Linked DNA regions of Arabidopsis thaliana. The protein of the gene in region 3 purifies or fractionates together with the protein of the main gene of each other region. This does not show direct contact. Each region holds a gene or a part of one and is shown on either strand. Other genes may lie near its edges.

Region 1 (7,292 bases), on a different chromosome or scaffold from region 3:
TGGATCATCCATTCCTTCCTACTCTCTACGCTTCTTTTCAGGTAGATGTTTTTCTGTTTTGCTTGCATCATGTCGGTTTGCCCGTTTCATTGCTCAATTGCTCTTCTTTTTCTTCCGCAGACCTCTACGCACGTCTGTTTGATTACAGACTTCTGCCCAGGTGGAGAGTTGTTTGCACTACTTGACAGACAACCTATGAAAATATTGACAGAAGACTCTGCAAGGTTCCCTCTTTTCCTCAATCTAAACGTATAATGTGTAACAGAAGATCTCCTGGTGATGTTTTAACTAAATAGGGGCACTATGTTAGCAAGAAAACATATCACCTTCTAGCAAGCATTCAGTTAGCGGTTACTCGGATAACTGATGAAGGCAATAAATCCCATTGTCATTATTATATCTGCAGTTATGAGTTAATCTGATCAATCTCTGTCATCAGGTTCTATGCAGCAGAGGTTGTTATCGGCTTAGAATATCTTCACTGCTTAGGTAATAATAATCATTGTCTCTGTTGATCTAAACATTGCTTATTTATACATTGCCACATGCCTTGAGTAGTCTCTTCTTCCAATAATTTTTTAGCTGTTGTTTCGGTTAAAGATCTGTATATATTTTCCATAAACAGGAATTGTATATCGAGACCTGAAGCCTGAGAATATACTGCTCAAGAAGGATGGACACATAGTATTGGCTGACTTTGATTTATCATTCATGACGACCTGCACACCCCAGGTACTTTTTTGTTCAACTCTACCATTTTCTATTGGCATATAAAGAAATATGATAATTAAGAGAAGTATGGTTTGCAGCTTATTATTCCAGCTGCACCTAGCAAACGAAGGAGATCCAAAAGTCAACCACTACCCACATTTGTTGCAGAACCAAGTACCCAGTCAAACTCGTTCGTAGGAACTGAAGAATACATTGCGCCTGTATAGTGATGCATTTAACGTTTTATCTCTTGCAATCTTCAATTACAGCTGCATCTCATTGTGTTTCAGTTTATTCATGGTTTACTTAATTATTTCAGGAGATAATCACGGGTGCTGGTCATACAAGTGCTATTGATTGGTGGGCACTGGGTATAATCTGCCACTATCTTTACCTTATTTTGATCACAAACTGTTATTAATATGCTCATCTCCTTTTATGTGTGTTTGTTGTAGGTATCTTGTTGTATGAGATGCTTTATGGTCGCACACCTTTCAGGGGTAAGAATAGGCAAAAGACATTTGCCAACATCTTGCACAAAGATCTCACTTTCCCCAGCAGTATCCCTGTGAGCTACCTTGTAACAACAACCTGTGTGTCTTTCCCAAAGTAAAAAAAATACTAATCTAACCATATGTGTTTGTGCAGGTGAGTCTTGTAGGTAGACAGTTGATCAACACGTTGTTAAATAGAGATCCGAGCAGTCGGTTAGGATCCAAAGGTGGGGCAAATGAGATAAAGCAGCATGCTTTCTTTCGCGGGATCAATTGGCCTCTCATACGAGGCATGGTAGGACTAATAATCGTTATTTTTATATCAATCAGCCTTTTCCGTGTTTGTTGTTGGCTGATATAATAGAGTGATTGCATACAGAGTCCTCCACCACTGGATGCACCGTTGAGCATAATCGAAAAAGATCCGAATGCCAAAGATATAAAGTGGGAAGATGATGGAGTGCTTGTGAATTCTACGGACTTGGACATTGACCTCTTCTAATCCTATTCTTCCTCTCTCTGCCTTTGATTCTCAAATTATGCAAAACTCTTCTTCTCAATAAAAGCCAAGGTGTTGTTGTACTTGTAGTTGCTTAAATATAAACGGCTCTTTTCATGTTTTTCCATTTCTTCTAATCAACAACAATAAACATACAAACTTAAGAGCCATGTTAATATTCATGTTAAGTGTGATAAGCCCATTATGAGGCCCATAACTAGCCCACTAGTAGTTGGGAGAAATGTCTTTGAGAAGTCCAACCACCTGCTGCATCGTAGGTCGCTTCCATGGCAGATCGGCGGTACACAAGTACCCTATCTTCACCGCCTCCGCGATTTCATCCTCCGGAACTGTCTCTTGCATCGTCGGATCAATGGCTCTCAATCCTTGTCCCTGCCTCACCAACCCTCTCACCCAATTCACCAAGTCACCCTCCGGCTTCTTCCCACTCACGAGCTCAAGCAAAACAACTCCAAAGCTATACACATCGGATTCTAATGTCGGAGAAGCATTTCGCTCCTGTTCCGGTGGTGTGTACCCGTCTAAACTTTCGGAACCGGGAAATTGCTCGTCCAAGAGTTTAACTAAACCAAAGTCTGCTAAGCGTGGCTCCTGGCTAGAGTCTAACAAGATTGTTGCAGCCTTCACTTCTCCGTGGACCATTGGAGGAATGCAGCCATGGTGAAGGAAAGCTAATGCCCTCGCTGTCCCCAAAGCTATCTTATGCCGAAGTCTCCAAGGTGCAGAATCATCTCCGTTGTTATGGAGTAGACTTTGCAAATTAACCATGTCTAAGTCCTCGTAGATTGCAATTCTTTGCTCTGTCGCTATACAGTATCCACAGAGCGGGAAAAGATTTGGGTGATTGATCCTAGCGAGACGTTCAAATGCAATCGAGACTTCAGTATCAGTCAATGTGGTTCCACTTGGGATAACTTTTAGAGCTGCTCTGAATCCACCGGGTAAGACTGCTCCGTAAGTAGGACCAGACTTGCCTTCCCACAACATTGTGCCTCTGTCGAAGTTGAAAGTCGCAGCCTTTAGGTCTGCAAGCGTCATTTTCATTAATGGCTTGTCGATCATTACCACAGGGATTTGCGTTGCTTGCTTGATATCAGTGGTTGAGTCGTGTTGGTCTGGGGAGTTGGGTTCTGTGTTGTTTATGGCTAGCTTTGTTGCCCAAGTTCTTGATTTTCTTCTAACTCTCAAGGCTACAAGTATGAGCAGTAGTCCTATAAGTAAGAACGCCATGGAGATTGCTAACCCCAAACCAATCTTAAGCCCTGTATTCTTCTTGTTGACTTTCTTTCCTTTTGTAATAATTGGCTTTGCAGCGAAGGGGCAGTTGTTTCTAATATTAATGAAGGATCTCTGGATTGTTTCTTGGGAGAAGTTGGGGTTGCAAAAGGTTAGATTGTTGAAAGAGAAGTTAAACCTTTGCATCATGGCGAGTTTCTCCAAAAGCGGCCTTGGGATATCTCCGTCTAGCTTATTCAACGAGAGATCAAGTACTTCAATGTTCTTGACGCTCAGCATAGGCACGTGGCCAGTGAGATTATTGGAGGAGAGATCAAGAACCTTCAGATGACTCAGCCGCGAGATTTCACGCGGAATGATATTAGTGAGATTGGTCCTTGATAGATTCAGATAATGTAGCGCAGAAAGCTTGCCGATTTCTGGGAACTCTTGTGCCCTGAATCGATTGCACGCGAGGTTAAGGTGTCCCAGCTTGTGAGCTGAACTCAAACCATTGAATATATGGCCGACAAAGCTATTATCGGACAAGTCAAGATGAATCAGACTAGACCAGTTGTGTTTGTGGCCGGGTATTAACTGCAAGATATGCCCATCAAATCGGTTTTCACTGAGATCAACTGTTTCCACGTTTTCATGCAAGACTCCTATCAATGAACCCTGAAACAGATTTCGTGAAAGGTTCAAGCTTTTTAGTAGTGGGAAAGCTGAACCAAAACCGACAGGCAGAGACTCGTTGAGGCGGTTGGATGAGAGGTCGATGGAGAGTAGAGATCGGCAATGGACAAGTTCTGGAGGGACGCCAAACTGAAAGTCATTGTTGTGGAGCTTGAGAGTTGTTAGATTGACAAGGTTGCTTATTGCGGCAGGGATTTTGCCAGAGATGCTGTTGAAAGAAAGATCAAGGGTGTGAAGCGACATGAAATTGCCGATGTTGCTGGGAAGAGGCTCAGAAATCCGGTTGGAGGAGAGATTGAGACTCTCAAGCAAGCTGAGACTCCACAAATCCGAGGGGAGAGACGTAATCTTGTTTCCACTGAGATCTAAAGTTTGGAGCTTACTCATTTTGCCAATAGTGTTGTCGGGGATCGAACCAGACAGGTCCAACCCAGAAGCCGAAATATGCAACACATTCTCACTAGAGTCACAGACGACCACTCCTGGCCATGAACACAAGGAAGAAAACGTATGAGCTTGGGGAGAATTGGGTAATCTCATTGCGGAGAAGAAGCTAGAGAGATGATAAGCGTCGGTGTTGGGATCTAGGCTCGTCAGATGCTTGACGAAGAAGGAGAAGAACAGGAGAGATCCCCATAGAGACAACCTCATAACTTGGTGGTGTCTGGGACTGGAGAAAGTTGGATGGGAAAGCTCAGAAAGAAGACAGACTGTGTGAAAAGAAGAAAAGACATAATGGAATCACGGGGCATAGAGGTGATGATAGTTTAGAATACATTGAAATCCCTTTCACGTGCACAGCTTCAAAAAAAATCAGAACTTTTAGTCAGAAAGCTATGAAATTTCAGAAGAAGAAGATAAGAGTTGAATAGTTTGGGGGAGTTCCGGAGTTGAGAGTTGAGTTTTTGGTTGTATCGTATATGGACACTGGAGAAAGTGGGAAGAGAAGAGAGAGTCGTTGAAAGTCAAAAAAAGGGATATGTGGAGATTATAATTAGGTAAAGTATTTCGCTAGTGAGTTATAAGAAAAATATGATAAATGGAATCTGTCTCAGACCTTTTGTGAATTTTTCCAAATCCCAAAGTTGTCAATGGATTTGGTGAGTGGAGGAGTGGGTGGTTGTTGTGGTTTCTCATTTCAGTAGTGTTTTGGTTATTAATGTAAAAATTCACTTTTTTAGGGGTTTTCACACTTTTTTGACTCTGTCACAGATACCTTGGAAATTGAGAATCATTCATTCCTCTGATTAGCCCCTAAACTGGCGCCTTAATGTCCGCAAATAAGAGAAAATAAAAACAAGAGCCATCAATGTAGTTTAAACCAACTCATCAGATTCATAGCTCATTTTCTGGATAAAAATAGCCACTCACTATTTTAAGCAATCTTATGCTAAAACAGAGCTCCAATAGCTATCTGAGTTTCATCGGATTCAAAGACTGAAACTTGCAATTAGAGAGAATGAAGAAACAATGCTAGCAAAACAGAGTCGAGATATCACAACTTGTGCGCCGAAAAGGAAAAGCCCATTAAGAGGAATTAAATGGGCCGAGAGATAAATGCCGGTTCGTCCGTAGATGAGAAGACACGTGTCAGGTCGGGTAGAGAGTTGGCGGCTGATCGTGGGATCCACGTCATACAACGCGCCAGCTGACCTTTTCCTCTGTTCGAAGATCAATCAACATCACCTTAACAGATTCATACCAAAAAGGAGCATCTTTCGCTACAAATTCTGTAATCAAACGAAAACTCAAAAGTTGTCGATTTTTGAAATTCGAAGAGAGGTTTTAAGACTTTGATAAAATGGCATTGTTTCGCAAATTGTTCTACCGCAAGCCTCCAGATGGTTTGCTCGAGATATGCGACAGAGTTTTCGGTCTGTTTCTCTCCCAATTCTCTGCTTCATTTATCTATTTTTCCTTAGCTCATTGTACTTGTTCGGTCTTCTGGGATTGAGTGTCTGAAAAGTTGGGACTTTTTACGCTAATTTGTCTGAAATTTGGGAGTTTTACAAATCAAGATATGAAATTTCATTTTATCATGATTGGCAAAAAACACATTGAACTGAAAAAAGTTTCTTCTGTGTGTGTTGCAGTGTTCGATTGCTGCTTCTCTACCGATTCATGGGAAGAAGAAAACTACAAAGTTTATATGGCAGGAGTAGTCAATCAACTACAAGAGCATTTCCCTGAAGCATCTTCTCTTGTGTTTAATTTCCGTGAAGTGGGTACTCGAAGTGTGATGGCTGATGTCTTATCTGAACATGGCTTGACTATAATGGATTATCCTCGGCACTACGAAGGCTGCTCATTGTTACCTGTGGAAGTGATGCATCATTTTCTCCGGTCAAGTGAAAGTTGGCTCTCGCTTGGGCCAAATAACTTGTTACTAATGCATTGTGAAAGTGGGGCTTGGCCTGTTTTAGCTTTTATGCTAGCTGCCCTCCTTATATACAGGAAGCAGTATAGTGGTGAGTCTAAGACTTTGGACATGATCTACAAGCAGGCTCCGCGTGAGCTTCTGCGTTTGTTCTCGCCCTTGAACCCAATTCCTTCTCAGCTTCGTTATCTACAGTACGTGTCAAGAAGGAATTTGGTCTCTGAATGGCCTCCATTGGATAGGGCTCTCACCATGGATTGTGTTATTTTGAGATTTATTCCTGATGTTAGTGGACAAGGAGGCTTTCGCCCTATGTTTCGAATATATGGTCAGGATCCCTTTTTTGTTGATGATAAAAAGCCTAAGCTTTTGTACACTACTCCCAAGAAAGGGAAACACCTGAGGGTCTACAAGCAGGTATTTCTCAGAATATTCATAGCGTTCTTATAATTATGACCTCTGACTCAGCCTGTGTTACATTGCATCTGAAGGTCTTAGAAAAAGAAATATATTTGATCACTGATTAGCCCTGTTGGTTTTCTGTTTCTTGTGCTTCTTAGCTTTCTTTTTCCTTGTTTGCAATATGATTTAATGGCTTTTCGATGTTGTTTACTCAACTCTTTGTGTTTTGCAGGCAGAATGTGAACTAGTCAAGATTGACATTAATTGTCATGTGCAAGGTGATATCGTGATCGAGTGCCTTAGTTTGAACGATGACATGGAAAGAGAGGTCATGATGTTTCGAGTGGTTTTTAACACTGCTTTTATTAGATCAAACATTTTGATGCTTAACCGTGATGAAGTCGACACATTATGGCATATAAAAGAATTCCCAAAGGGGTTCAGAGTTGAGGTATGTACTCATGGAGCTCATATTCTCTTTACATGGTACATATAGCTACTCCATTGTAACTTAGTACTCACAAAGAGTACTTTCTGTGTGAAGCTTCTCTTCTCAGATATGGATGCTGCCTCTTCTGTTGACTTGATGAATTTTTCTTCCTTGGAAGAGAAAGATGGTCTTCCAATAGAAGTTTTTTCCAAAGTTCATGAGTTCTTCAATCAAGTTGATTGGGTTGATCAGACAGATGCCACACGCAATATGTTTCAGCAGTTAGCCATTGCAAATGCTGTCCAAGAAGGACTAGATGGTAATTCAAGCCCAAGACTACAAGGGTTAAGCCCTAAAAGTATCCATGATATTATGAAGCATGCAGCAATTGAAAATAGTGCAAAGTTCAAATTGTCTTCAATGTCCGAGGTTGAAACAATCGACACA
Region 2 (7,708 bases), on a different chromosome or scaffold from region 3:
TGGCTTTTGTTATTCCGGTAAAGTTTCGATTTTTCGATAGAGTTTATTGCTGTGTGTGTAGCTTTGTATCTTGATCAGCTTTGATTTTTGATAGATGCTAATGGATTATTTTTGTGTGTTTTAGATTCTGGAGAAGTTACATAGGGAGAGATGGAGTCCTGAAGATGGTGTGGGATGTATAATTATATCTCCAACAAGGGAATTGGCAGCCCAGACATTCGGTGTTTTGAATAAAGTAGGAAAGTTTCATAAGTTTAGTGCGGGGCTCTTAATTGGTGGTCGTGAAGGAGTTGATGTTGAGAAGGAGAGAGTTCATGAGATGAATATTTTGGTGTGTGCTCCTGGTAGGCTTCTTCAGCACATGGATGAGACTCCAAACTTCGAATGTCCACAGCTTCAGGTAATGATGACCATATTTGTTTATGTTTTCACTATCCTTATTTTAATGAAATGTTTCAGCTACAGAACATTTGGGCATTTTGTGTTGTTAACTCTATAATACTTGTCCATGATGCCTTTCTCCTACACGTTTATGAACATTAGGATGGTTATATTTGCAAATAAGGATACCGTAAAACCACTTCGACTATGTTTCTGTCTGCCAAATTTCTTCAGTCTTATTGTTTACAAATGCCTAGTAAGTGTTCTCTTTTGCTGCAGATTCTGATTTTAGATGAGGCCGACCGTGTCCTTGATTCTGCGTTCAAGGGGCAGTTGGATCCTATAATCTCACAGTTGCCTAAGCACAGACAAACTTTGCTTTTCTCTGCAACTCAAACTAAGAAAGTCAAGGATCTAGCAAGACTCAGTTTGAGAGATCCTGAGTACATTAGTGTACATGCAGAGGCGGTTACAGCTACTCCAACTTCCTTGATGCAGACTGTGATGATTGTCCCAGTTGAAAAGAAATTAGACATGTTATGGAGTTTCATCAAAACTCACCTTAATTCCAGGATTCTTGTTTTCCTCTCCACCAAGAAACAGGTTATATTATATTACCTCTCTTCCTCTTTGAATAATCTACATGGAGATAGTGTGTTCACTTTCATTCTGCCACTTTCTTCTATCTTGAGATTGACAAACGGATCACAATCCTGGCAGGTCAAATTTGTGCATGAAGCATTCAACAAGCTCCGGCCTGGAATACCTTTGAAGAGTCTTCATGGAAAAATGAGTCAGGAAAAAAGGATGGGAGTGTACTCTCAGTTCATTGAGAGACAATCAGTTCTGTTCTGTACTGATGTTCTTGCTAGAGGTCTTGATTTTGATAAGGCTGTGGACTGGGTTGTTCAGGTATGAATCCACATCCAGAATTACAAAACTCTATGATCTTGTCGGGCTGAAGTGTGATGTCATCATATTTATTTTATAGGTGGATTGTCCTGAAGATGTAGCTTCTTATATTCACCGGGTTGGGCGTACAGCTCGTTTCTATACTCAAGGGAAGTCGCTCCTCTTTCTGACACCTTCAGAGGAAAAAATGATTGAGAAATTACAAGAAGCTAAAGTGCCTATAAAACTCATCAAGGTAGTAGCTCCCGTCCTCAATTTTCTTTGAGTTTCGACTGTGGTTGGAAACATTTGACTGTAAAAAAATTTGTCACACAGGCAAACAACCAAAAGTTGCAGGAGGTTTCTAGGCTCTTGGCTGCTTTGTTAGTCAAGTATCCAGATCTTCAAGGTGTTGCTCAGAGAGCCTTCATCACATATTTGAGGTCCATCCACAAAAGAAGGGACAAAGAGATTTTTGATGTGTCAAAGCTGTCGATTGAAAACTTTTCTGCTTCACTTGGTCTGCCAATGACTCCCAGAATCCGATTCACAAACCTTAAAACGAAGAAAAAGGGGGTATATGAGAGTTCTATCGCTATGGAGATTGAGAATGCACAGGAATATGAAGCACCTCTGGTTGTCAAAAAAGATCTTCTTGGTGAAGATTTAGAAGAAGAGGATTTTGCTCTCAAGCCACGTAAAGAGGGCAAAGTAGTAGAAAAATCAACCAAGGAAGAAGAAGTTCTCATGTATGGTTTTCGCATTCCGTTAACATTTTTTCCATTCATTCGATCCAGTCTTTTCACGCTTAATTATGTGTATAAATTCTGTTGAATTTTCAGACCAGGAAATCGTGTTTTGAAAAACAAGAAGCTGAAGATCAATCTACACAGACCATTTGGGTCGAGGGTTGTGCTTGATGAGGAAGGCAATTCTTTGGCTCCCTTAGCAAGTGTAGCTGCTGAAGCAGGGACTGAAGTAGCCCTTGATGAAGGTAAAGGAACATGAATCCCTATTATCCTGTTCACACAAACGAGCAATGAATCAGTTTTTAAAAAAGCATGTGTAAATTGGTTGTTGAATTTTGCAGAGAGAATGAATGATTACTATAAGAAAGTGGGAGCGGAAATGAGGAAAGCTGATATAGAGGACAAGAAAGTAGACAAGGAAAGGAGGAGGGAAAAGAGAATGAAACAGAAGATTAAGAGGAAGAGAGGAGCCATGGAGGATGAAGAAGAAGAAGAAGAAGAAGACCATGATGGTTCTGGATCATCAGATGATGAAACTGGAAGAAACAGCAAAAGAGCAAAGAAAATCGTCTCTGACAATGAAGAAAATGGAGGAAAAATCAATACAGATTCTCTTTCCGTAGCTGATCTTGAAGAAATGGCTCTCAAATTCATAACGCAATGATAAGATCTTAATTCGTGTAGTTAATTTACATCAGTTCTGTGGAAAATTTTGTGATTTGTTTCCACCTAACGATTGCACGTTTGTTACCGTCTTACTATGAGGAAAAGAAGGATTTGCATTTTAGCTTTTGGTTTGTTTGTTGTATTAGGCGATGAAGAAAATTTACATCTTCTTTCGTAAATTCCATAATATATCAATTTTTGGCAGTAATCAGATAAGTTTTATAACAAGATTTTCTATCAGGCCATGGACTCTTTTAAACTTGGGAGTGCATCTTTAACCAAATCTCTATAGGTTTGAGCCGTTTGACCAATAGCAAGTGGTAAATACGATTGATTTTGGATAAATATTTATTTTAAAAAACAACAGAATAAAGTTTCAACATTCAGTAAACACTTTGTTCATAGCAAATTCAAGATCGACTCATTTGCAAAATAAAACTCAAACAAAAAGAGAGCACTTTTAATCTAGAAGTCCTAATAAGACACAATCGCTCATCTTTTGTTCCAAGACATTGGTAGAAATAGCTGATGTTGATGTTTCACTGCAATTGCAAAAACAAGAAAGGTAAGAACATATTCACATGATGCATATCTTAAAATATTATTCTTGTTTATTAGTGTTATTGAGTTACCTGACGTTGCTGCTGATAGTTGCCATAGCCAGTGTAACCACCATAGTACGCATTAGGGTCTTGAGTTGGTGGTTGAGCTGCATAACCATAGCCGCCCTGTGGCTGTGGAGGGTATCCATAGTATCCACCACCGTTCCATTGCGCTTGATCAGACTGTGACGACAAAGTTTTAAGTTATGATTTTGCTCATAATATCACTAATAAGATTGAAACGTATAGATTTGAGAAATTGTGGGAGAACAGGTAACAAGCTAACCTGCTTGTTTGGACTACGTCCCCACGAAAGACGGATGCTTTGTCCACCTAATTGTGTTCCATTCAGCACCGAAAGTGCATGCTCTGCAGACGCCCTGAAGCACAACAAAGAGAATAATGAAGTAAGCAAGAAAAAATGGAATTCATAATGAATGGCTGATATGATGTTTTATACTTGTTGGCATATTGAACGAATCCACAACGTTTTCCTGGAGGTATTTTCACATGAAGAAGTTCACCAAATTGACCAAAAATTGACTTTAATTCATCGTCTGTAACATTAGCATCCAGACCTCCAACAAAAATCTGAAAGTAGAACGCGTTAAACTTGCAGTCTATCAAAAACAACAGACTAAAGATTTTGGAGAATAACAAACGAAAACTAGCGACATACTGTTGTGTTATTAGGATCATTATCTCCAGCATTTGCTCCTTGAGTGTTTTGATACATAGCTGCAAATAACAGATGGGTGAGCTCAAGAGAGATGGCTATAAAATTTCTATGGATACTGCATAACGCCCCACTCGACATGGTGAGAAAACTACAAAACTAAACTGCAGAACAACAGACAGTTCACTCAAACAACGTTTGCAAAAATCATTCACATCAACACCTAAGAAGATACCAGCAAAGAAACCAAATAACATACAGAGATCAAGATCAGAAAAATCTGAAGTCAGTTGATTATTGATGTACAAATCGTTAAGCACATATCAAACGGTCCATGTGAGACTTAACGCCGAAGCATAGAATAACGAAAGCAAACTCTTCATCCTACATCTAAATTTCTTCAATATTAGAAGTTCCTAGTAATCAACTTACATAACAACTCCTTGGCCAACGTTTAATAGTATAAATCTAGAGAGGAAAACTATTGTCAAAAGATGAAAAAATACTGGCAACAGTCTGCATAGAGAAGAAGTATTAACTTTTAGCCTTTAGGTAAAGGTGAAAATAAAATAAGGGGAAAAATGAGCTACGGAATATAAAAAGAATGAATTTGAAGGTAAAAGGCTCAAAATAAATATGTCTAAGTGATATAAGTAAGGAACTGGAAAGTAATTTGAAACTGTAGGCTAATAATAGCCACTTATATGTAACTTCTTCTGATAACATAACCGACTGACCTAAATGAGGCCACGCATTAAAGTGGTATCATTTTCAGCTGAAATCAGTTCCAGGCTCCCCCAAAGAGAGCCACTTGTTCTCCTGCTTTAAGACAACATGAGCTGATCTTTATAAGTTTTTGGATGCTTTACGATATCAAAATTTATTTTGCAGAAAATCCAAAACCGAAAGGAAAAAGAGCAGATGAGAACTCTTAATCTTTGAGCACTAATTGAAAGAAGAAACTAAACTGATCAGAGAGAAATACAGCACCCAAAAAGACACTCAAATATAATGCTCAACATAGAAGGTTAAACAAACACAAACAAACTTCATATCAACTTTCAACATACTCAATATACACAGTTCCTACATAATAAAACATACCTGGTTGCATCGGAAGAGCATTCTTATTGGCAGCCGGACCAATACGCATAGGCCTTGTCGAGCAGTATTGACCATTCATTTCAGTCATGGCACGCATCTGCTCATTTTCATCCGCAAACCTAACAAACCCATACCCCTTGGACCTTCCAGTGGTCCTGTCAAGCACAACTTTAGCCCCTTTGACAGACCCATACACATTCTTGAATGTGTCCGAGAGCATATAGTCAGTCACCTCAGGTGCCAAGTCACCTACGAAAATGGTATGGTCAGGCCCTTCAGTCTGGAATCGTTTCTCTCCAGCCCCAGCCTGAGCCCAGTTGAGCCTAAACGTCTGTTCAGTGCTCGGCATGGGAGCACCATTGTAAGTCTGCAAAACCCGCTCTGCTACAGAGTGGCTGACGAACTCAATGAATCCATAACCTTCAGATTGTCCCGTCAGCTTATTACGAATGACTTTAGCTGATGTAGCCTGAAACCACCAAACAAAAACACCAAGTATTCACTAACCATAAAAAATGAAGATTTATATTGCAAAGAACAATACTTAATCAATCTTCTACATGATAAGCAAAAGACTATGTTCATCTCGATTTTGATAAACAGTCAAGTAAAATTACCTCGCCAGACTGAGCAAAGACGCTCATGATGTAGTTCTCGTCCATCCATTGCTGCAAGTCTCCGATCCACAACGACTTAACATCGCTAGCGGATCCTGGATTCTGAGATCCAATACCGTACTGATGTTGACCTAGTGGCGCCGCAGACAACTGCATCTGCTGCTGCTGCTGCTGCTGTTGCATCATCATCCACAAATGCTGTTGTCCTGATGGTATCTGTCCAGCTCCGGCGGCGTTTGACGGTGGTTGCTGCATCACTACGACGGACAAAAAAACCAAAACCTAAACTTTCGCTTCGAAAATAAAGCATTTTTATAGTTATGATATACAGTTGTAGGCTTTTTTATAGGCCCAATTTTTATATCAGCCCATTAGTTGTTCTACCATTGACCGGTTTGGTTTTGAACCGGGCCATGATATTGAGTAATTGAACATGGTTAGTGTTCTAAGGTAAGAATGATGACAACAGAACAGTAAATTGGATTACTCTAAAAATCAAATTATGAACTTAATCAAAAAAATAAAATAAAATTAGTCAATTTCATAAAGAACAATTTTGGACTGATCCAATTTTAGTTCAATAAATCAAACCGAAGTACATAATCGAATATACAAATCAACCAAGATTGTTGTATCTATGACTACTTCTGAGACATGTGAAACTTTAGTATCTGTTGTATCGATGAAGAAGTTTTGGTCTACAGTTGGATTTGTTCAGGTCACATCACTCACATGATCATGATTCTAGATCAAAGATTCATAGAGTAACAAGCTCTTCTTCACCAGTCCTCTTCCCTCTCCAGAGTATGATCTGCTCATCTTTGAACAATATGGGAACACATGGAACCATCTCCTGCAATTTTGATCACAGCATCAAGATAGATCAATTCTAGAGAATCTGACAGACAATATAAGACAAGCAAACCATTTACAGTTTATTATACCTTTAGTTTCACACCAATTCGTTTGCAGTCACTCATCCCAACATGAGTGCAATCTAGTCTCACAATCTCTTCTGTTTCAAACTCTTCCCTCACTCTTCCAACGACATTAACATAAACACCATTCCTAGCTGAATCACAATACAATCCGCCAATCAAAAACGAGGAAATACTAGAAAAATGACAAAGAACTTGACGATGTATATACTACTTACTAAGTTTCATTAAGGCAGGAGAATGAAGCCCACGATTTCTCATCTCCTTGGTCTCTTCAAATTCTAACCCATCAGCCACATTCTTTACAAGTCTTGGGTATATTGGCGGATGAGGCTTCCATAACATGAGTGGAATGATGGGACGACTCTTCGGATCATAATTCCTTCCCCGGTACAAAACTAGAATGTTTATGTTTCTGTATACAATCTTTCCACCGGATTTTTCCTATCAAGAACACAACTATAGTAAGATCAACCGAAAGAAAAACAGAGCCGTGTTCTGGAGATCTAATAATAGACACCTCGAGGTGGAAACATATGTTGTCCATGTCAAGAGTTGGTACTCCCAAGCATTTGATCCTCACTGCCTCAGCTTTCTTCCAATGGTTATGAATATCATCTATCATATTGTGAGTCACACCACCTTTCCCTGATAACATCACAAAGTTTATAAGAAGAGACCAATCACATAATTTGATTATATCACAACATGATCATCATCAAGACCACAAATCTACAAGTGATGTCAACACAAAGAAGTTTCTACCACTAGTGAATCTGCAACATCAACGATGACGAAAGCTCTTAACTTTGAAGACGATTCGATTTGATCAAGCAAACTAATTTCAAAGCTAAAAAACTTAGGCAAAAGATTCAAAATTGTACCGAGATTAATCTGTCGTGTACAGTCACTATGCCGATACCGTTCAATAAGCTCTGTAACTTCATCCTCTGTCAAAGTCTCGCCGAGAACTCTTGCTCTCTCCTCCACCCATTGACTCTGATCAATCTCCGGCGACGCCAGTGCGGTAGTCCCAGTCCATTTCCGGTCCAATCGACCCGGTCCAAATGGAGAGAACCGTTTC
Region 3 (6,770 bases):
TGACATGCCATAGAATTATCACTATTGTGTGGTTGTGCTTGTAATTGTTTGTAAAAATTTTGATTTTATGAATCAAAGATTATCAACATCTAGACTTTAATAGTTAAGGAAATAATAATATTTAAAAAACGCGTACCTAAATCTAATGAAAAGTCAAAATTACGGTCAACGCCTTACGAGACGCGTCTGGTTCTTGAAAGCAAGTTCTGCGTTATTTCATCATCAATCAAAGTCGCCATTTTATTTTTATTTAAAGTCTCACGTCACGGAATTATCTCTCTGAATTCATCATCTTCATCATTACCTTCTTTTTCTCAATCTCGATTGTTTTCTTCCAAATTCATGTCGATGATGGCGGGTATACAAGGCCAGATTCTCGAGGTCACTGGTTCGTACCTTTCTCACATCCCCAATTCTATTATGTTCTTCAACCTTATCTATGATCCGTTGAAATGTTAACTTTTAAAATTTCTGGGATTCTTTTGATTTGTCAGTTGTTGGGTGCCAGAAATTGAAAGACACGGAATGGTTTTCAAGACAAGATCCATACGTCGTCCTTGAGTATGGTGGCAGAAGTCACCGTACCAGAACCTGCACAGGTTATTTTTAATACCACCTCTTTTATTCATAATTTGTTCAGATCCAGAAAAAATTGAACAAAGTTAAGATCTTTCAATGAATTTGATTGATGGGTTTGTTTTTTCAGATGGTGGAAAGAACGCTGTTTTCCAAGAGAAGTTTATCTTCACTTTGATTGAAGGGCTTAGGGATCTTAAGGTTGCTGTCTGGAATAGCAACACTCTCTCCACTGATGACTTCATTGGCAATGCAACGTATGTGTCACTTCTTATCATTGCCTTGTTATGCTTTTTAATACCCGCTTTGGATTTGGAATTGAGTCTTTTGTTGTTTGGTTGTTATTAGGATTCAATTGCAGAAAGTTCTTTCTCAGGAATACGACGACTGTACCTGGACTTTGCAGAGTAAAACTGGGAGGTAATTACATTGGCTTTACTAGTTTTTGTTCCTTTTCCATTAAGTATCATGTTTGGTAATCTCGATTATTGCATGGTTCACATTTGTCTAGCTGATTTTGGTGCAACTTTTTGATGTGGTTTCTACTATATAGTGCTTGAATATATAGTTTCGCCAGTTGCTTTGCTTTGCTTTGCTTTGTTCTTGTCATTTACTTACAGTGCTGACATGGTTTTGCTCACTGATCAGAGTCGTTATGTGTGTTTTTGTGTCCTAAATTGTTAATCTGTGTGAACTACTTGTTCGAATGTTCTGTTTCTACATTGAGCACACTCACAATTGATGTAGCATTTTGATTAGGTTTCTCTGGAACTTATGAAAGATAACTAGACATTTTGACATAAATGGAGCTTCTATTGTCTGTTGTTAGGTTACCTCAGTAAAGAGATGTGAAGTTGCGTTTAAACATTGTAGCATCAAATTAGAATTTCTTAAAACTGGTCTCTTGAGGTATTCCATTTTTGTTTTTGAAAAAGAGAAAGTTATGTGTTTTTTAATCCATGGCTATGTGTTTTGTTTTCTTAAATTCCTGGAAAATCGGTTACAATGTGCCAAGATTTTGGTAGCTTGTCCTCAGCGATTGCTCCTTGTAAAAGATTACTTTTTTGATTAAAAGCCTTGTGAAAAACATCAACCTTTCTGTCTTGTAGATTCGCTGGAGAAGTACAACTCCTACTGCATTATGCGGGAGCAAAGGTAAGTCGAGCCTCAATTAGCAACATTGGTTAACATGTTCCATTATAAACAAAAGGCTAAACACACAATCCACTCTTGTATGCAGAAACATAATTACGGGTCTGCGCCATCAGCACCGTATGCACCTCACGTACCTCAATACTCAGCACCGCCTTCTGCATCTCCGTATTCAACAGCACCACCATACTCTGGACCATCTCTATACCCACAAGTACAACAATACCCTCAGCCATCAGGATACCCTCCAGCTTCAGGGTATCCTCCTCAGCCATCTGCCTATCCACCTCCCTCAACCTCGGGCTACCCTCCGATCCCTTCAGCTTACCCACCTCCTCCGCCATCCTCAGCTTACCCTCCTCAACCATACCCTCCGCAACCATCATATTACCCACAAGGTACCTTCCTTTCTTTCCTGTTCTATGCTGCAATTGATCGCATTTGCTTGTCTCTAACTATAGTCAGTGGTGGTTGATCTTTTTTCTTCTTGTTTCCAGGTCCATATCCAGGACAATACCCACCTCCTCCATACTAGAGCGTTTGGCGTTTAGAATTTGACGGGAAGTGGTCATGATGTATAGATTATAGTTATGGTGTTTTCTAGAATTTGGCAGACGAATTTCTTTGTTTTGTTTTTTTTATATCATCTTCCTTGTGCTATTGCTAGCGTGATGGTTAATTTTTGAGTTGGTCAGTGAAACTTATTGAGAAGTTTGGATCTTTTCATGTTTAACCAGATCGCAGATTATATTGAATTATTACTCTAAATCCTTGGTTTTGTGTGTTCATCATCCTCTTGAGTTAAAATTATGTTAAAAACAAAAAAAGGTTTTGGTTCTGTCTTTAACTTTAAGAAACGGAACTTATCGGCGTATAATCATCGCACTTGTGATCAGATGCAATTAGAAAAAGGTTATTTGGTCAATGTATAGCAATATCTTTAGGTTCTAACAAAAACATTATTGTTGACAAATAGCCCAAAAGTAGTAGAATTTAGCCGACAGATTTTACTGCACTTTGGTTTCTCGATCTCTACTCCAAATGAGTAAAAAGTGGGTAAAGCGGGAAACAGCAAAAGAAATCACACATTTAATAAAAAATAAAGAAAAAGAAATTCCACATTAAATAATCACAACAAGAAAAACAAATAATATATTAGTAAAAGACAAACGTAAAAACCATCTCTCGGCCTTCTCTCATAAATCAATCTCTCTTCTTATCACTCTCCGAAACCCACTTCCAGCTTTTTCCTCTCTCTTTCTCTCTCTAGTCTCTCTTTTGTAGCTCTCCCCTGCTAAGCTAACCACTGCACGTTTCCATAGAGAGGAAAGATGAGTCTCTCTCCGAGAGATTTTCTCTCTATCATCTTATCTTCTTCCGTGTAATGCTCTGAGCCAAAACCCAATAACTAAATCAACAACAATATAGAAGAGAAGAGAAAGATCTTATCTTTCTTCTCATTCTTGAGTTTAGTCCCCCACAATGGCGATTCGGAAGGAGGAAGAAAGTAGAGAAGAACAGAGCAATTCGTTTCTTCTTGATGCTCTCTACTGCGAAGAAGAGAAATGGGACGATGAAGGAGAAGAAGTTGAAGAAAACTCTTCCTTGTCTTCTTCTTCTTCTCCATTCGTTGTTTTGCAACAAGATTTGTTCTGGGAAGATGAAGATCTGGTTACACTCTTCTCCAAAGAAGAAGAACAAGGACTCAGCTGTCTCGATGATGTTTATCTTTCCACGGATCGAAAAGAAGCTGTTGGTTGGATTCTGAGAGTCAACGCTCATTATGGCTTCTCTACTTTAGCAGCTGTTTTAGCCATAACTTATCTCGATAAGTTCATCTGTAGCTACAGCTTACAGAGAGACAAACCATGGATGCTTCAGCTCGTTTCTGTCGCGTGTCTCTCATTAGCTGCTAAAGTCGAAGAAACCCAAGTCCCTCTTCTTCTAGACTTTCAAGTAAATGATGATACTTGCAATAAATTTCCTTAAAGTTTAAGTCTTTTATCCCTCTGTTCTCATCTCTCTGTTTTTTTGGGGGTTTGCAGGTGGAGGAGACAAAGTATGTGTTTGAAGCAAAAACCATACAGAGAATGGAGCTACTGATTCTGTCTACTCTCGAGTGGAAGATGCATCTCATTACTCCAATTTCGTTCGTAGACCACATTATCAGGAGATTGGGACTTAAGAACAATGCTCACTGGGATTTCCTCAACAAATGCCACCGTCTCCTCCTCTCTGTAATCTCCGGTTCGTAAACGACAAAAAGAAAAAAGCCACTCCATTTCGTTTTACCATCTGCTGAATCTGAGTAATCATCTTACATTCTTGTCTTATCTTCCTCAATTGTCTTTGTCAGATTCAAGATTTGTCGGGTACCTCCCATCAGTAGTTGCCGCAGCTACCATGATGCGAATTATAGAGCAAGTTGATCCCTTTGACCCTCTTTCATACCAAACTAATCTCCTCGGTGTCCTTAACTTAACCAAGGTTAGCTTCTCTAATCATCTCTCTACTTGTTTTCACTCAGTCATTTTCTCAAACAACTCTCGTGCATTAACAGGAAAAGGTGAAAACTTGCTACGATCTAATCCTCCAACTACCAGTGGACCGCATCGGTTTACAGATCCAAATCCAATCTTCCAAGAAACGCAAGAGTCACGATTCATCATCATCGTTGAACAGTCCAAGCTGCGTGATTGATGCAAACCCTTTCAATAGCGACGAAAGCTCAAACGATTCGTGGTCAGCGAGTTCGTGCAACCCACCAACGTCGTCGTCGTCCCCGCAGCAACAACCTCCATTGAAGAAGATGAGAGGAGCTGAAGAGAATGAGAAGAAGAAGCCGATTTTGCATCTGCCATGGGCAATCGTAGCCACTCCATAATCGAAAGCTCGATTTCGTTTATATGATATTTACTGTTTTTTTAAACTTTGAGAACAATCTTTGTTGTATTAAGCTTTACCCGTTTGCATATACGAAATGTCGCGAATGCCCTTACGTGCCATGGCTTGATAGAGTTAATGGGTAAAGGGTATTCATGACATTTGACTGCATGGGATGTGACGAAGGAGAGAATTAGAAATAATAATAATAATATTGCGTAAATTTTGAGGCTTGCCCAATCTTTGGGCCGTAATCTCCGGCGTTATTCATATTTTATTAATGTTTTATATTATGAGTAGTAGTATGTTCTAAAATCTGCTTTGCTGAAGGAAATAATAATTACATACATATTCTTTTACTCCTGTAGTTTAGGAAAGAAAAAAACGCATTTAAATCCGTGCTATTTGATAACTACATTTTTTTCGTCCAGAATGGTGGATAATACAAAATTTAAGAAATGAGATGTCACAATGTTTTAATATTTGAATGAGACTGTTGTGTTTATGATCGAAAGTGAAAGATTTAGCGTTTTTAGCTTTGACTTTTGGGAGAAGAGCCAATTGTTGCTGCTTTTTTTGTCAGTCTTTAAATATAATCGCTTTCAAAGATGAATCAATAATTAAAATTTTAAAACGGAAAGACAAAAATGAAAACGTAACACTATATTATTGCTTTAGATTTTTTGTCTAAAGTCTTGTCAAAACCTGCTCTACACTATATTATTGCGTATCAAATAACTAACTACACATGAACATGTAAGTTGTCGAAAATAACAACATATAATTATAAATGTTTTTAAAAATCAAACAGCGAAACTTAAATCAAATCTACAGAGTGTAGATCTTTCGTTGACCAGTAGATAAATTAACTGCGACAGACAGACACAGGACAAGAAGGAGGAAGTGAAGTAAACGCGCCATATATAGGTGAGTGTTGTTCGACGACGATAAAAATGTGGTGCAGCATTAGTAACAACACCAGAACCAAAGTAACCTGCTTCCACTCTGAGCACCTGGGATTAAGACACGTGGCAAAAAGTATCCAGCGTTACTATTCTTTTTTTCTTTTAATAACATCAAATAATCGTCAATTAATTACGAAAATTGAAGATATTAAATTTAACAATTTACTATTATAAAATCCCTTTTGTATCACGGAAAAGCTTATATGATAATGCGATTGAATCACGAGAAATTGATTTTTTTTTTTTAAACAAAACTTTAGGTTGTGTGAAAATCTTGGCTCCTTCTTTTACACTTTTTCTTTTCCAATTTTATTTTCTCTTTGGACTTTTTATTTATTTATTTTCTTGGCAATAAAAAAAGAGAATTTAAATCTATAACTTTTTTCACGTGTGACACGAATTTTCTACTTTGGGGGATTCAGATTCATCGTTCTTTTTCCTTTATATTCTCAATTTCATTTCGCTACTTAGAAAAAAAACGAATTGCTTTAGCTGATGTCGTTTCTTAACGCTCAGCCTCACGTCATCAAAGCATTTAAACTCCCCTCGTTCATGTAATCTTACATTAATACGTATGCGTAATGCGTTTATGTATTGTTTAAAACAAAAGATCCGTTCTCTAACTTCAACTAAAAAGTTAACATCCATGCATATGTATTAGAATATCAAATTAAGCACAAATATTAACATGTTAGCAAAAACATGACTCTTTATTTCTACAATATGTATATCGACTTTTAATCACAAGTTTACTGGCTGTAGAAAATAGGTATATTTGTGTATATACGATTGAAAGTGTTCATATATTATATATATGATATGTTTTATTTTTGCCGTTGTTCTTGAGCAACTATATGCTAATATATATAGGAAGAAATAATATATTCTTCTTATTATTCTTATTTTGTATTTTTAAAAATAATATTTTATAATTTGCAGAAGAACGGGAACAATGTGATATATCAAAACTGAACAAATAAAAATACTGAAATTTGAGTAGTTAATCTAATAAAAGAATCTCTAGTGCAAAAACACTGGTTTAAAATTAAACAATTAAGATGATATATCAAAACTTGCATACCAAACTATACAAAAATTATAATCGGCCACATGCATTACTATAATTTTATGATAACATTTGAAAATCTGGAGTAGGGCATGTAGCTACATAATTGATGAAAGGTGAAAAAGGAT
Region 4 (7,392 bases), on a different chromosome or scaffold from region 3:
ACGGGTTTCCATGAAGCTTCATATACACTTAATCTAATTATGCATTAATCATTGTGCAAACCAAGATTGAGAAATTAATGTTAAGCTTATGGTGAAACATATCCACTCTATAATATATCCTATAGTAATAGTATATCAATTGCTATATAATTCTTTTTGGATTTATGGATTTGGCAATCGCGTCTGACTAATCTTATTGTAGAAAACATTAATCGATTTTTACTAAATACTTTTAAATCGATATCATATACATATAAAGAGGTATTTCATATAGGTGGTGATTGCTACTAATGCGATAATGAGATGCAGTTACAAAAAAAAGATTGTGAAGGATGCGTTGAATCCAAAGGCACAAAGAGCCACAGTGTCCCATGCTGATAGATATGATTCAGAAAAAATGTTTGAATAGTTTTGGGTTTATTGAGACATGTTCTTGCAATTGATGAAGATATATCAGTGCACGATGCTTTTTCCACTTGAACTAGTTTCATGCATCTGTCATTATTATTTCTTTATAGTACTCTATCAAGATAAGGGTATTGAAAGGTTAAATTGGACCGAACTGGTCCAAAGGGCAAAGGTCCGAAGAGATTTTGATCTGGTTCAAGTTTTAATTTAGTGTGGGATATTGTGGTCCAAGTGCAACTCGAAACAGTTCCTATTGGTTGATTTGATAATTGTAGATCATGAACAAAGAGATAAGAAAGAAAAATATCAAAAGTTTGACAAAAACATAACAAAAAATAGCAAAACAAATATTTAGAGAACTTCTAAATTCTACTACATTCGATCGATTTCATATATTTTACTGGTCCGACGTTCAAAATACATTAGAAATGTTTAGATCGTATACAAATTTAAATAGCACAAAACTTTATTAAATACGTACGTGTAGGTATAATTGGAGTTCGATGCATGTACTACACAGTAGACATTATAAGACATTTTGAAACCGTAGACGTAGACATGAATCCTCAATAGTCTTTATCGTCGCGACATACTTCAGAAAAGTCGTAAAAGATTGTTTTTTCCGACCAAGATCAAATCACCGGAAGTATACATGTATTCAAACTAAATCTCGAATAATTGTAAGTGGGAGGAGGTAAAGAATTCAAAGGTTGGGATAAAAGAATGGGTCTATTCAATGATTTTATATGGTTGATGAAAAATAAAATCCAACCTAAAAATTAAAAAATTAAGCGAACGTGGGATTGGGATAATGTTGAGGAGGAGACAACGATAAAGAACAGTGAGTGGCTACAGATTCTGCGTCGACCATTCCAGGAGACATCATCTTTTATTAGTGTTTTTTTTTTAATATCATGGGTGGTGATTTGTCTTTTTATTTTATATGTTTGTTTGAATATATTAGCAAAAATGAAATAACCTAAAATACCAAACATTAAATGCTTATGGTGACCAAGGTAAGTTGGGCCACAAAACAAATTATAAACCCAAAATTAGAATTGCAAGTCACCATCGACGCTTCCGATCCACACCACCAACGTTTCCAAACTAGAGTCATGTGGTTTCACTACGCTTCCAAAACACCTCATTTTTGGAATCACGTTTGCTTACCGGCTTTGAGACATGCTATGCGCCTCTCCTTCCGCTTCTGTTTCCGCTTCGACCTCCGCTTCTGGTTCGCGGGCGAGTAACGCATCACCTCCGTTGATATAATGCTTCCTAGACAAAAACAAACATACTTTTATTTTAGCTTTGCCAAACGCACCACAACTTTTAACATACCACAACAAATTAGGACAAGATTCTCTAAATCATCTTTCAATTCGTTTCAAACGATGAAGGAACCTTCTTAAACATAACAGAGAATTCTAATACAAGATCATGATTCTATTAAAACAACACTGTGTCTTATGATTTATTTGAACCTCACTGATAAAGTTAGAGAGAGCTAAACGAAAAACAAAAGCTACCCATCTTATTCTATTCAACTTAAGATCAAACAGAAGCAAAATCAGAATCAAACAAGAACCCACAGGAGACATAACATTCCCATCCTGATATAACCATTGATGGAGTCTAGATCTTACGGCGACGTAGTGGGGTTTCACGCTTAACATAGACCTTCTCCATTTCGTTGAGTGGTCGGCTTGATCCATCTGGAAGACTCATAAACTTCCAGCCACCTCCGGCTCCACGTTTGCCCTTAGCACCCAATTTCTCAACCGTGATTTTCCATCCCTCTGATGAACGTCTCCTGCTGTACTTGTGGCACATCACTTCTCCTCTCCACTGGTTTAGAGAGCAAAAGGTAAAGTAACGTTTGTTATCACCAAGGAGAAATGACCAAAGAACGTCTAATAACTCAGCAAGAACTCAAGCAGGAACGCTGATGTTATATATCAATCAAAAGGCGTGGATCTATTCAAACCAATAACCTTTTAAACAATCCACAAGCAAGTTGCAATACCATTATTACTTTCAATCTTTCAAGGTTATTTTACAAGTTACCAAATTTAGAATAGAGGGTTCCAAACTTGCATCTAGTCTCAAGTTTTCCTTCTAAGTTGCAAGCAGGTCACTTGATAATTAACATATGGATGGGAAAATGTCTCAATAGACCAAATGTAGTAATGGTTTACTAAGTCAATGCATACTCAAGTGGGCAAAAGAAGGGCCTTACTTTCATTTTGTTGAACTCAAACCTTCGGACAAATTCTTCGTAAAGCATGTCATCCTCTTTCTTTGAGATCTCATAATGGACTTCATCCATATCTTTGATTGTACCATCCCATCCTTCTGGCATGACCTTGAAGTCGGGTTTGTAATTAAGTGAGGCCACATGAAATTCCCGGTCATGCGAAATGAAGAACCTGTATACCAATATCAAAATGAGGGTTAAAGGAAGACGAAGCCACATAATCCGCAACCTATTCAAGTTTGCATCATGATCGTTCACTAACAATGCTAGATCCAACTACCTTAACTATTTTGGCTATAAAGAAGACTAAATAAAAGAGAGTACACACAGTTACTCCATTTCAATTCATGTAAAACTGAAGTAACATTATACCAAGGTATAGAAATACTAGTCCATGTAAAGTAACTTACTCAGGGTACTCATCAAGCAAACGGTCAACAGAATCATCCAAAGGACGACCAAGCTTCCTCTCCTCTTCTTCTTCATCTTCTTTAAGAAAAAGAATGGCGTGAACACGCTGCCTCATAATCCTATAATCCTTAGCAAGCCTCTCAATAGTATACACCTCAGGATTCTCTTTGTGCAATCTATACATCTCAGTCTTCTCAGAGTCCTTAAGATAAGACCCTCTAGCACCTGGCTCTTTAACTTGCTTCAACAACACACTGATCTCCATCATTCTCTGTTTAATCCCATCAACAAAAGCCCTGCCTTGCCTATTATCTTGCTCAATCTCTTTAAGCAAATCATCATACTCATTCATTTCATTAACCAAAGCTACCTCCTTTGGACCCAATTTGCTCATTACATCACCCGAATCAGAAGGGGTGTTATCAGAAGAAGGATTCGCCGCGTTCTTCTGACGACCAACGGAGACACCATCGAAATGCTCCTTAGTTAAACCAGTAGACCACATAGATTTATTGTCCCAATCAAGATCAGCAGATCCTGTACCACCAAATGATCCTCCTGTTGAAATATTCCAGCCGTTATCATCGCCTCCAACTCCATCAGATCCTGATTTTGCAGAAAATGCTCGATTCGTAGCAGATTGTAAGATTTTTGATGAAGCGTTCTCAAGTAGAAACCCAGATGCTCTCGTGCTAGGGTTAAGTGAAACCGAGGAGAAACGATAAATGATCCTACTAAGGTTATACATTGCTACTGATTCTTCAAATCAAACGTTGAATCGCACGAACGCTGAAACAAAATCGAAAGAGAAGATCTAGTAACTTACCCAATAAACAACTAAAACACACAGACAAAAAGTTCGAATTTTGATTACATGAAGATAAGGTAGAGCGAGTTACCCAAGGAAGATGAGAAGTCGAAGCTCCGATTAATCGGAATTAATGGCGTGAAGGGAGTCACGATAGAGACCAACGGAGGCCAGTTACGACTGCGATAAAGGAAAGGGAAGGGTTTTGAGAATTAGCGAAGAGTTTGTATTTATGTTTTAACCCCTATATTTCTTTATTTATTTTAAATATCACCTTATAGTTGTTTTGCTTTAGTTATGCTCACTTCCTTTTGTATCTTGACTTTTTATTTGTTACAATTTAAACCCAGAATCCACTGATGAGTCTGTGTATGTGGAACAGAAATTATATAGACTTTTGCAATTACGCACGATCTAGACTTGAAGCAATTTTTAAACTGATGAATGTTTTAATGACATAGACAAATAATGATGAATCACAGGTAGGATTTTATAGTACTCCTACTTTGTATTATACATCAAAAACATTTGTTTGTAGTGAATCTTATGAATGGACTTTGCAAGAATATGAACCATATCACAAAAGTCTTACTAAATTTGAATCCCAATGACCTCAACAATAAGAACATCGTTTAGTCTATGACTTCGACATGATTAAATCTAAACCGATCACAAAGAAGAATAACCCTAGAAATTAGAAAAGCACACAAAAGAAGAAAACCCTCACACAACTAAAACAACCCTCTAAAAAAAAGCACTCCTTTAAGCTCCCTTCCTTTCTACACAAGAAAACTTTCTGACTTTGATCAGAGAATTGCTCAACCACTATGAGATTGGCTCCTAGTATCGCCTGAATCATCATCATCATCACCACCATCTTCGTCTTCATGTTCTTCTTTGTGAGTAGTACCAGTGTTCATATTCCCGTATCCATGATAGGCCGGTGTGAAATTGTTCATAGTTGAATTGTCGTTTTGGAAAGAAGAAGGCATTTGAGCCATCGGTCTCACTATACCACCACCATAAGCTTGTGGTTTCTGCTCCTCTACGGTGTTCACCGAAGGAGAAGTTGAATTCACGGTTGTTATGGTAAAAGTAGGAGGTTGTTGTTGTTGCAGTTGTGGTGGTGCTTGTGGTTGTGGTGGAGCAAAAGCCTCCATAACTCTAGGTTTCTTCTTCTGATTTTGTTCTGCTTGATGCATCACAATGAAACTTCCCATTACCACCTGTCACATATTATAAGACTTTAGAGTTTTCTATACTCCTGAATCTGTAAATATGTTTCATTCATGTAATCAAATCGTGTCACCTGAACAGGACCAGCTGCTATAAGCATACCGGCAAGGCCACCACCAAATATATTGCCATTTGGTCCGGCTAAAGAAATGCTCATCCCACCAGCCCGACCTTTTGTTCCTCCATTTTCAGTAGGCATAAAGGAACCAGATAGCGATAGTATCTCAAACCGACCCTTAGAAAAGAAAAAACACATAACAGTTTTACTCGATATATATTTCAAAACGAGGTACTAACGAAATTTGATTCAATGTTTTGTTACCTCATATGTAAGAGTGCCACCTGCATTGGTAGGTTGACCAAGAGTGACATTAGAGATCGAACCAGTTGCAGAAAGAATGCAGATAGCTCGAGATCCTTGTTGCGAATACGGCATAACCTTCATTGTCACATCCTGATCAAAACAAGAAATTCTCAAACAAAGACTGATAGAATTTAATACCAAAGCTTGAGTTACAAGCACCGTGTTGAAGAAAGAAAACAAAAGAATCCTCTGTGGGAAATTTATTACCTCACCGCCATTGACAGTAAATTGATGGGTCGTAAAATTTGCACCCACATAGCATGAGAGCCCAGGAAGAGGAGGAGTAGGAGCTGCAAGAGATAGTAAAACAGAGTTTGCATTAGTCTAATCAGCTAATTAATTAATCCTAATCCTCAAGCAACTAACTCCATGATTCAAAACAAAGACCAACTAATAATCTAAATCTCTTTTTATTCACACAGTAATTAAAACAGATAATGAGAAATCGTAAGATCTGCTAAACAACTTATAATCACAACTAGACATACTTATCTTCTAAGATAAAAAGGAAGAGACAGAGATTATTCTGTCTTTGTATTTTTTTTTTTAAAGACAAAATCTTCTTTTTATTTCTGTTTTTGTTTGGTCAGCATCAGCAGATTCCCTTTCTCTGTCTCTAACTGGTCTGAGTGTAATAGCTTCTTCAGACAAAAGTGTACCCAGCAAAATCCAGTTATGTTGGTCCCACTTCCCAACATCTCAAAAATCCACACAACAACATAAAATCACTCGAAACCCAGATCAGATCTTGTCTCACTGAAACCAATGCAAACAGTTCAAACACAAATATCTCAACTTTTAATTACCTGGGCTTCCATACTCGAATTTGTGAGATTTCTTGACGAACTCAAGAGGCTGATGCTGCTGCTGAGCTTTGCCTCGTTTCCATTGATAATCTCCAGACAATGGAATCGAAGATGAGATTGGAGTTGGAGACAGAGTTGGTCGCAAAAACCTAGGGTTCAGGCTTCCGTCTGGTGCGTACTTCCTCGGTCTTCCTCTCTTCTTTTTCGTCGGATCTGATCCGGTTGATGCTGTGGCTGAGCCAGGAGTCACGGTGGTTGGTACCGGAGCCGAAGACGGAGCTGGTGGAGGAGGGAGAGGAGTCACTACCGTTGTGGGACTCACGAATTGGAGAAAACTAGGGTTTTGTTGAAACTCTGTTCTTGGAACCAAAGCTTCATCTCCCTTAACTGTGACGACCCCACTTGGACTTATTTCACCTTTCTCCTCCATTTTCTCACTAATTCCCCAAAATTACTTAAATACTCTGCTCCTGAAATTCACCAAACTCTGATTCCAAAAAAAAAAAAAATGAGCTTTTTCAGATGAAGAAGAAGTAAAGGTTTCTTTTTTTTCTTCTTCTTCTTTGTAATAATAACTAAGAACAATAAAAGGAACAAGAGATATGAAATAGTAGCTCAAAAGGACCAAAGATCAAAGCAGAGAAATTTGATTACAGTTTCTAGATTTACTTTTTCACCAATTCTGCAGCTGAAAACCAACACTGTAGCAGAGAAATGCCAGAGCTTCTTTCAATGGAGATTAAACCTCAAAAATCCCCAAAAAATTACATGCAATATCCCCAAAAAAAAATTCACAAGAAAAAGAAGATAATTTTTCTCTCTTAGACGAATGAATTTTTAGGGTTTTTGCAAAGAAATAAATAAAATGGAAAATTTCAGGAAAAGAAACGATAATATATATAAAAAAATGTCATGTAGACAGTTGTATTATTTAATAGGAATATTAAGGATTTAATTAGTTGAAAATCGATATAATAATTACAAAAATCAAAGTATTGATTTCGGTTTAGGGAAAGATCCACGTCCGTCTTGGAAATTTAATATTTGTAATAAAATAAACGGAAATACGAAGAAAAATTAAAGTGAAATTTCGAAAAGAAAA

The links.
Region 1: the proteins of CYCD3;1 (region 3) and AT5G58150 purify together in Arabidopsis thaliana (affinity purification with mass spectrometry, with the first as the bait; one large-scale study listed by BioGRID). This does not show direct contact.
Region 2: the proteins of CYCD3;1 (region 3) and RBP45A purify together in Arabidopsis thaliana (affinity purification with mass spectrometry, with the first as the bait; one large-scale study listed by BioGRID). This does not show direct contact.
Region 4: the proteins of CYCD3;1 (region 3) and GCD1 purify together in Arabidopsis thaliana (affinity purification with mass spectrometry, with the first as the bait; one large-scale study listed by BioGRID). This does not show direct contact.

Annotation. Positions count from the first base shown.
Region 1 is NC_003076.8:23,528,287-23,535,578, forward strand, and holds AT5G58150 (Leucine-rich repeat protein kinase family protein), read right to left. Parts: upstream 4,555-7,292; 5' UTR 4,288-4,554; coding exon 1,930-4,287; 3' UTR 1,795-1,929; downstream 1-1,794. Other genes in the region: PHOT2 (phototropin 2), read left to right, coding at 1-41, 121-224, 440-489, 626-732, 810-932, 1,031-1,082, 1,167-1,279, 1,360-1,500 and 1 more; AT5G58160 (actin binding protein), read left to right, coding at 5,438-5,510, 5,730-6,430, 6,648-6,866, 6,960-7,292.
Region 2 is NC_003076.8:22,293,645-22,301,352, reverse strand, and holds RBP45A (RNA-binding protein 45A), read right to left. Parts: upstream 5,985-7,708; 5' UTR 5,942-5,984; coding exon 5,687-5,941; intron 5,539-5,686; coding exon 5,070-5,538; intron 4,028-5,069; coding exon 3,969-4,027; intron 3,881-3,968; coding exon 3,750-3,880; intron 3,670-3,749; coding exon 3,576-3,669; intron 3,473-3,575; coding exon 3,320-3,472; intron 3,230-3,319; coding exon 3,227-3,229; 3' UTR 2,958-3,226; downstream 1-2,957. Other genes in the region: AT5G54910 (DEA(D/H)-box RNA helicase family protein), read left to right, coding at 1-17, 125-400, 661-984, 1,102-1,293, 1,373-1,528, 1,609-2,021, 2,115-2,266, 2,363-2,685; AT5G54890 (RNA-binding CRS1 / YhbY (CRM) domain-containing protein), read right to left, coding at 6,444-6,539, 6,631-6,758, 6,843-7,068, 7,145-7,272, 7,509-7,708. UniProt on the Arabidopsis thaliana protein: Heterogeneous nuclear ribonucleoprotein (hnRNP)-protein binding the poly(A) tail of mRNA and probably involved in some steps of pre-mRNA maturation.
Region 3 is NC_003075.7:16,354,693-16,361,462, forward strand, and holds CYCD3;1 (CYCLIN D3;1), read left to right. Parts: upstream 1-2,728; 5' UTR 2,729-3,210; coding exon 3,211-3,684; intron 3,685-3,773; coding exon 3,774-3,975; intron 3,976-4,084; coding exon 4,085-4,215; intron 4,216-4,288; coding exon 4,289-4,612; 3' UTR 4,613-4,873; downstream 4,874-6,770. Other genes in the region: AT4G34150 (Calcium-dependent lipid-binding (CaLB domain) family protein), read left to right, coding at 343-388, 495-599, 707-833, 925-996, 1,686-1,731, 1,817-2,126, 2,226-2,263. UniProt on the Arabidopsis thaliana protein: Involved in the control of the cell cycle at the G1/S (start) transition. Activates the G1/S phase transition in response to cytokinin hormone signal, but declines in response to sucrose starvation leading to G1 arrest.
Region 4 is NC_003076.8:25,008,659-25,016,050, reverse strand, and holds GCD1 (ribosomal protein L20), read right to left. Parts: upstream 4,095-7,392; 5' UTR 3,976-4,094; intron 3,866-3,975; 5' UTR 3,825-3,865; coding exon 3,076-3,824; intron 2,838-3,075; coding exon 2,648-2,837; intron 2,257-2,647; coding exon 2,055-2,256; coding exon of another isoform or gene 2,044-2,054; exon of another isoform or gene 1,687-2,043; coding exon 1,565-1,686; 3' UTR 1,239-1,564; downstream 1-1,238. Other genes in the region: AT5G62260 (AT hook motif DNA-binding family protein), read right to left, coding at 4,703-5,110, 5,194-5,355, 5,443-5,574, 5,692-5,774, 6,291-6,720. UniProt on the Arabidopsis thaliana protein: Essential for fertility (male and female gametophyte functions and development). Required for the integrity of female gametic mitochondria. Modulates male gametophyte functions, including pollen tube growth and style penetration.